Solanum lycopersicum: one gene and its partner. The protein of the gene in region 1 interacts with the protein of each later gene in a pairwise test. Links are inferred from orthologs where the notes say so. Each region holds a gene or a part of one and is shown on either strand. Other genes may lie near its edges.

The links.
Region 2: the proteins of molybdopterin synthase catalytic subunit (region 1) and molybdopterin synthase sulfur carrier subunit interact in a protein complementation assay, tested with the Arabidopsis thaliana proteins (2 studies listed by BioGRID). The link is inferred for Solanum lycopersicum from reciprocal best matches to the Arabidopsis thaliana genes AT2G43760 and CNX7.

What each region holds. Positions count from the first base shown.
Region 1 is NC_090805.1:47,908,098-47,912,353, forward strand, and holds molybdopterin synthase catalytic subunit, read right to left. Parts: upstream 3,020-4,256; 5' UTR 2,882-3,019; intron 2,177-2,881; 5' UTR 2,168-2,176; coding exon 1,583-2,167; 3' UTR 1,534-1,582; exon of another isoform or gene 1,438-1,533; intron 1,377-1,437; exon of another isoform or gene 1,121-1,376; coding exon of another isoform or gene 976-1,120; exon of another isoform or gene 889-975; intron 888-888; coding exon of another isoform or gene 706-887; 3' UTR 611-705; coding exon of another isoform or gene 446-610; 3' UTR 354-445; downstream 1-353. Other genes in the region: G2/mitotic-specific cyclin S13-7, read left to right, coding at 104-352, 446-610, 706-887, 976-1,120. UniProt on the Arabidopsis thaliana protein: Catalytic subunit of the molybdopterin synthase complex, a complex that catalyzes the conversion of precursor Z into molybdopterin.
Region 2 is NC_090801.1:68,009,224-68,013,766, reverse strand, and holds molybdopterin synthase sulfur carrier subunit, read left to right. Parts: upstream 1-1,666; 5' UTR 1,667-1,826; intron 1,827-3,645; 5' UTR 3,646-3,661; coding exon 3,662-3,976; 3' UTR 3,977-4,096; downstream 4,097-4,543.

The DNA of each region.
Region 1 (4,256 bases):
TTTAATGTAACTAAATAGTTTTGTGACTTTATTGTAATAGTGGAAAAAGTTCAGTAACCATTCGTGAAGTTGATCTTGTTTTTTGATGATTTGGCTGATTCAGGACGAAAATCGACCATGTGATTACATGGATTCACAGCCAGAGATCAATGACAGGGTGAGAGCAATTCTTGTGGACTGGCTGATAGAAGCACACAAAAGGTTTGAGCTGAGGCCTGAAAGCCTGTACCTCACAGTCAACATAATGGACCGTTTCCTGTCGGAAGAGCCTGTTCCTAGAAGGGAACTTCAGTTACTTTGCATCAGCTCAATGCTTATTGCCAGCAAATATGAAGAGATTTGGGCACCAGAGGTGTAAAAATGAAGTATTCTGCAAATGTGTTAAATCTGTTCAGTAAATTTTTTAATCATAATCTCTGATGATATGTTATGTTTGTCTCTGCAGCAGGTTAATGACTTCCTAACAATAACAGACAACGCTTATGTCAGGGATCAGATACTTCTAATGGAGAAAGTGATCTTGGGAAAGCTGGAGTGGTATTTAACTGTCCCAACGCCATACGTCTTTCTGGTTCGTTACATTAAAGCTGCAGTTCCATCTGATCAAGAGGTATTGTTTTATTCTCAATGTGAATTTGCAGCTACTTAAGCAGATAAAGACAGCTAGTTTAGCGGATTATACGCGCCCTCTTTGTTGTTTTATAGATGGAGAACATGACATTTTTCTTGGCTGAGCTCGGGCTGATGAACTACACTACTGTGATATCCTACTGTCCATCAAAGATTGCTGCTTCTGCTGTTTATGCTGCTCGTAGTACTCTCAACAGGAGCCCTCGATGGACTGACACTCTGAAGCACCACACTGGATACACAGAAGACCAGCTGAGGTAAAGAAAAAGTTAAAACAGTTGTCATTTAGGATTGGTAACTCTACTAATTATGAACTAATTGTGTTGCATGTATTGTTTGAAACAGAGAATGTGCAAAACAATTAGTTAGCTTCCACTTTGGTGCTGCTGAAAACAAGCTGAAGGCGGTTTATAGGAAGTTTTCTAGTCCAGATAGATGTGCTGTTGCCCTCTTGCCCCCTGCAAGAGATGTCCATATAGGAAGTTCTTGAACAAAGATTGTGAATGTGTGAAGTTAGATCATGTCAAACTTTCTGATCTCTTATTTTGAAGTCTGAAAAATTCATACTTTTATATGATTTACTTACTAGTAAAGTCATTCCCTTTTAACATTGTATGGTTCTTGTGAATATTTGAATGTTGAGTGATAGTTTTATCCATTAGTGTTAATGTACCACTTCTATTCTTTGGCTCACTCACTGTGTGCATAAATTCTCCTAGCCTTACGTTTCTCTAAGGCTCCCCCTTCTGTTAGAGGCATAAGCAATCAATCATGATGAGTTAAATGGGAGCACAATTAAATCGTATGTACACACTAACAAGAAACTGCCTTCAGCTATAAATCTGATGTGCTAGAGTATGTAATAATTGGTATTGCACACACAACAAAGAGGGATGAACTAACCATTTTGTTAGTTTTCGGGTTTGAATGAAATACAACATGTGCCTCAAAGCTACCTAGAAGAATCTGCAGACTCGTCATTGACTTTAACCTTCGTTCCACAGCAGCTCTTTCTCTCGTGTGCCTCCACTTTCTTTTTACCAGAGCAAGCTCCGTCTTGATCATGTGATGCATTCCCAAGCTCTGGCATCCTCTCAATAAACTCTTTATTCTCTTTCCACACCTCTCCATTTGTATATACCTCCTTCTTCCATATCGGAACTGATGCTTTAAGCTCATCAATCAGAAACTTGCAAGCATCCAATGCATCTGCTCGATGGACAGACGAGATTGCAACAAATACACTAGTCTCTCCAACAGGAACAGTACCCAAGCAGTGAGCAACTGCTATCGAGTGGATATCCCACGATGATCGCGCAGAAGAACAGAGAGATTTAAGACAACGTACTGCCATTGGAACATATGCTTCATACTGTAACTCTAAAACTTCTTTACCATCAAATGTATCACGCGTTGTACCAGCAAATGTTGCTATAGCTCCACATTTAGGAGAACTAACATAACCAATATATTTGTTGAAGTCTATTGGGCTATTCGCTTCCAAGATCTCGATTAAATTTCTATCCTCATCAGCCATTTGAATCACCTATAATTCCGAAAAAAAACACCTCAAAACAAAAACAACTAGGCTTCAATACCAAACAAAGTCAGGGGTCGGCAATATGAATTCTCATTATCCATATCGTGCTATTTAACCTCATCTCAACTCCAGAAAGTTTTACTTATCAGAAGTAGAAATAACTAACATTCACACACTTCCTTCTTCCCATTTTAAACGAAGTTATATCGCAGCAAAATCAAATAAGATTCATACGATCAAATTAAACGAGAAGGGATTAGACAGGACAGCACCAGCAGATTGAGTTTCATGTAAGTATAGACTATAATCATCCAACTATACCCTTTAAACAATCAACTTCAACTCATGATCTTGGATTATAATTATAATTCTCAAAGACCACTTACATAAACTCCTAAATCCAATAAATTGCAGTTCTCTCCTTCCATCCGTCTCAATTTATGTGATATTTTTTTGCTTATTGACTGTTAATTTGACTAGTCTTTGGTGAAATTCACATTGTTTAAATCTCGAGAAGCAAAAAAGGTGTCACGTAAATTGAAACAGAATAGTAATTATTAGTGATGTTGATTTCTTTAACAAAATCAATTAGTATCAAGTCAACTCATGACCAAATGACTTGAGATTATAAGCAAATACAAGGATTTTGAGATAATTTAAAATTATAATCATTATTAATCGAAATTAAAGATTGAATCTTTGAAAACATACCTACACAATGAAGCGGCTGGCTGGTGGCTGAACCGCAGCTTTGGAGATTTGATCTTTCTGATGATTGCAGAGTAGAAGTGAAGACAATTTTTGGAAGAGAAAATTGACAAAAATGGTCCCTTAATTGTTGTAGTAAGTTCAACATAGTTCCTTAAGTATCAATTCAGCAGTTTTTGATCTTTTTAAGTTTGTATAAGTTATTGATTATTGTTACACAAATAAAAAAGATATCATAAATAATTACAAGTTTATATTCAAATCGAAAGTAATTTCTGAAATATTCAGTCTCTCATGAATAATTACCGTCTATACCCTCATTTATTAAGGGTGATAATTTTTGTTTAAGTGATACTAAATCGATATCATATACTATATTGATATCATTAAGGTTGATAATTTCGCTTAACTAACACTCAATATATATAATTTATTGGTATCATTAAGGTTTCTTCTTCAGAAATTACTTATTAGTCAATGATATTATAAGAGTATATATGTATATTGTTGTGGTATCATTAAGGTTTCATTGTTCAAGAATTACTTATCAGTCGATAATATACTATAAGAATATATATGCTCTTATAATATCATTGACTAATAAGTAATATCTTAACAACAAATCTTAATGATATCAATACAATATATATATATATAGATTTAATATCAATTGAGCGAAATTATCAGCGTTAGTGATACCAATATAGTATATATGATACTGATTTTGTATCAGTTAAGCGAAATTAGTAAATGCTTATTTTATTTTTATGGGGTTTTATTTTTATGAAGTATTTGCTTATTTCCCCCTCATAGTTACATTAAAAATTAAATTGATTAAAAGAATTTATATTGGATTTCATTTGGTTGTGTTTAATTTTGAATTGATATCATATTTCGTTTGGATTTTTTTACTAAAAAAACTACAAAAATAACCAAATTAAGTCGATAAATTTTATATAAATTTTTTATATATTATTCATAAATAAAATATAAATATTTTGTTAAATCTTATTAACTTATGTCTTTACCTTTACTATTTTCTCAAATTCAACCCTTTTAAGTATTAAATTTTATGAACTATATATTAAAATCTTAAGTCCAAGTTTTCTCAATTTTTGAGTTGGGGGTTTTCTTTTTTGCTTTAAAGATTTGATGCTTGGTGTATAATGAAATTTACTATTGCTTAATTAAAATTAGTTTCTTTGTATAATAATAACTTAAGCATCACTTAATTGAATTCACAGTAACTTTTACATGAATTTTTCATATAAGTGGTGTCTATGTCTATCAAGAGTATTGCTTAATTAAAATTACTTTGTTTGTATAATAATAAATCTAGCACTTGCTTAATTGAATTCACAATAATTTTCATATAAAT
Region 2 (4,543 bases), on another chromosome or scaffold:
TATTTTATAAGTAATTTTTTTTATCCTTTTTTGGCCTACATGACATTAGCTTGAAAGAAAAAGTGAATCAGCGTTGGATCCACAAGATAGTGTCACGTAGGTCGAAACGGAATAGAAAATTATTGATAAAATAAGCTCAGGGATAATAAGACGTTAGTATAGTGTAAATATGTCTCTGAAATTTCAGGCATCCGTTAAGGGGTAATTGTGCATTATCCCTTATTTTTTTAATAAACGCTAAAATAACTAAAGGCAACGGTTAAAATGAGACCAAAAGTGTAAACTCATATAAGTCAATTTAAGCTAGCGTTTGGTCATAGATTTTCAAATATTCTTGGCAAATATTATTTGAGTGAAAATTTGGGTGAAATTTCACCATGTGTTTGGCCATAAAATTTGGGAAATATATTTTACCTTTTTAGAAAAATATGATTTATACACACAAGTTTTAAAAACGATCAAAATTAACTAAAAGTTTGTAATACAAGTCAATGAATGTTCGTTACAACAATAACAAATAATGTCCATGACACTAAAGCAATGTGGTAATTTGGAGTGAGTGCAACAAGAATTATTTCATACATCGTGAAGTAAACAAAGTACATGACTTTGTTACCTAAAGCCAATTTTTAATAATTTTCATCAACAATCATATCATTATTTAATATTCACTACATATTTCATCACTATTTTGATGTTCGCGTAAAAAATGATGTAATACAACGCAAACAACTACTAGAGAGGGTGTTTTTGTAAAAGATAAAAGATTGGGGTAAAATTTTAATTTTTAAAATATCCCAAATAATGAGATTTGGCCCAAATACTAGAAAAAACTAGTATTTGGAAATTTTGGGATATTTGCCAAAAATATTTGCCAAATAATGGCAAATTGTATGGACAAACATTATTTGCCAAATTTTTTCCAAATATTATTTCTTTTTCTTTTTTTACATATTTGAATTACAATATGTTTCTATTAGACTCATATTTTACTCAAATTTTAAAACTTTTTGATGTTATTAAAAGCTCCTTAAGCTAAATATCTTTCTCTCTTAATTATATAGCCTCCAAAAGTGGTTAAACTTTAGTCCTGTTTTGGTTGATGAACTTTTTTATACTTAAGTTAATTTTATGTTGGATAAATGATTAAAAAATAATCTCTCTAATACATAGAATTTTAAATTCACTAAATTTCTTAAATTTTCTTTTTAGTTGAACTAAATAGAAAATTCTAACACTCACTATTTAATATTGAATAAAAAAGATTAGAGTAATAGTGATTGAGACAGTAAAAAAGGAAAATTATATAAGATAACGATCTATTAGTTTAAATTAAATATTATATTTATAATTTATTCGCAACAAATATCTTATCCTTTTATAATCTAATTTAGTATACAATTAGTCACTTTTAATATATAATTAATCTATAAAATATGTTTGTATCTCAGACATAAGTAAATATATTTTCATCTTAGACACAATATCTTATCCTTTTATAATCTAATTTAGTATACAATTAGTCACTTTTAATATATAATTAATCTATAAAATATGTTTGTATCTCAGACATAAGTAAATATATTTTCATCTTAGACACTTTACCTTTTAAAAGTTTCTCCAATAAAAAAGGTATTGCTCCAGCCTCCAGTGTCCCTAAGCATTTTTTTTTTAATTTAATTGTTTTTGTGCCCTCTTTTCAATTTTGCCCACTCCATCACTTCTGCGGATTTCTTTAATTTCTATCGGAAATTAGGGCAAATTCTTTGCTTAAGTCTTCGAGAGAAAGCATCCGAGGCTTCTCCCTCTTCTACTTGTGGGTTCAGGTATATTCGACCTTCTGTAATTCCTCTTTGACCAGTTCTTATGTGAATACAGTTTTTTGGTTTTGGGTGAATTCTCAAATTATCATACGAAGAGGCAATGAAAATTGCTCTATAAGTTGATTCAGCTCTTAGAAAATTGGACAATTTGCTAAAATCACATGTTTCAGAGAATTTGACCTTATTCTGAAAGATGCTAATTAACTACTCTCTTGTTATTATATACTTTGCTTATACTTAGATGCCTAAAACAGAATTATATGTTCCAGTTACTTGGAGAATACATGTTCATTGAGGAGTCACGTAGATTGTTTATGGATTTAACTTGAATCTATTTACCAGTTTGACACAAAACATCCAAAAAAAAATTGAAAAAAAAGGAAAGAAATCGAAAAGATGATCATCAGATTGGAACAGAAATTTCGTAGGTAGTTGTGCAAATGTCTTAGCTGATAAACACACATATACTCGGTTTTAGGCAACAGATTAAAAGAAAATAAAAAATAAATTAAGAACTAAGAAGAGAATCTTTTCGGTGCTCTCTTAATTTAGTGTTTACTTCCCTATTTGGGAGGTTTGTGGGGGCTGAGGGGAGGTGTAGCCTGCCATGAATCCCATTGATCTATAAACAAGGACAGCAGACATGAGCCTTATCAGGATGACAACAACAACAACGTACCCAGTGAGCCTTACCAGGATGATTAGTTCTTAACGACAGTTATCGAACTTATATTTTCTTTCAATCCAAATCAAAGTTAAATTGAATAGATACTCATGTCTTCTTTTGAAATGGTTCATAACCAAATTTTGTGTAAATTAAGCTTGAAACTTTATTTGGAATTCAACAAGTTAATGGATTAGTATATGAGTGAAATCTGGAAGCGTAGTCTGATTGTATCTATAACATAGCATAGTCGGGTGTTATGCCTTCAACAAATTGGTGTATCTTTATCCTATCTACTTCCTGATGTGGTTAGCTGTTTGCTATGCTTTCTCCTTCTTTTTTGGGGGGGTGGGGCGGGGTGGGGCTGTGTTTTGACTGAATCCTATAAATTGATCTTAGCTTCCAAAAAAATATGCTGTGTCATCTTTTATCATTTGTTTCTCAAGTAAGTTTGTCACTTTTTGTTGTTACTAGGAAATACAACTCTTCGATACTCTTTTAGTCTGTGCCAATTTTTCTAGTTTCTTTCTTACTTAAGTTTTATTTTGCTGTTACTAGGAAATCCAATACTTCTATACTATTTTAGTTTGTGTCATTTTTCTCATTTCTTTCTTAAATAAGTTTGTGACTTTCTGCCGTTACTTGGAAATCCAACTCTTCTATACTCTTTACAAGTTTATCTTAACCATAATGTAAGTACATACATGGATGTAGTGAACTTGGCTTGAATTTACCCTTTCTTTTTAGTTCTCTTGACTCATTTTAAAATGACTGTTAATTCTGCATTGAACTTAATGTTGTAAAAGAAGGAACATCATTTTCTTTCACTGTGAAGTGTGTGGACATGGGTTAATGGTTTTGGTCAATTGCAAATGCATTGTTTTCCATTACATAAGATGTTGGTCACTTTTGGTCATGTTAACATAGTTCTAAATTCAATTCTATTTTTGTGTCTTTAGTTAGTCTACTTATAGTCAGTGTTTAACTTACTTTTAGATTTCAACTTCTTGTAGAAGTTTAATTATTTAGTTGTATTTTCTTAGGAAAAAGTAACAGATCCTTTTAAATACTCAGTTATTCTTTAATTCTAGAGGGCGAATAGTCATTGTCGGAGCATAACTGATAGACGTTACCCCTACTGTTGAATATACTGGACAGGTTATTTGCAATTGTCATGATTGATAAAAAAATTGACAGTAAAGATGTGGAAGCTCTACAGCAGAATGGAGATGAGAGTAGATCTCTTCAAATAAAGTTTCTGTTTTTCGCCCGTGCTAGAGATCTGACTGGCATGACTGAAATGCCATTGGAAGTTTCTTATGGTAGTACTGCCGGTGACTGCTTGAATAAGGTCATTTCTCACTTTCCACGGTTGGAAGAGATACGTGGGTGCATGCTTCTTGCCCGGAATGAGGAATACACAGCCGAATCCACCACTGTTAAAGATGGAGATGAATTGGCCATTATACCTCCTATTAGTGGAGGCTAACTCAGTTCCTGAACTGCAATTATCGGAACTCTATTTTACTTGTATTTATGTGTGTGATCATATTACTAAGCTGTGTTATTTATTCCCTAATAATACAAGAACAAAATTCTCTTGCTAAAATCATTGAATCTGCAATGTATGGAATACTGAGAGTGTGTAGTAACAATGAACTTAGCTCACTGCCCAGTAAATGGCATTCATGAAAGATCCTAAAATGTTCTGTCTAATGGAACCTTGATGGATTTGCAAAATTTTTCCTTGCCAGGATGACCATTATCATAAAAACTATATCATACAAATGAGAAATCTATTCCCATACAAAAAGTAGAGGTTCGCGATTCAGTTTGACTAGGAAAAGAAACAAATTTTAGTCTACTTTCGTAAATCTAGTCAAGTTGGACTCTACTTTTTTTTAATTAAAATCGTAAGAACAACTTCATTAATGACACTATATTTAATTGGCTCTACTTGTAATTCTCCATTTCCAATATGCAAGTTGTTAATAGTGAGAAATAGAAATTTCCTGTAAAATCAAATAATTATTGTGTGTGAAAAAAGAGAAAAAGA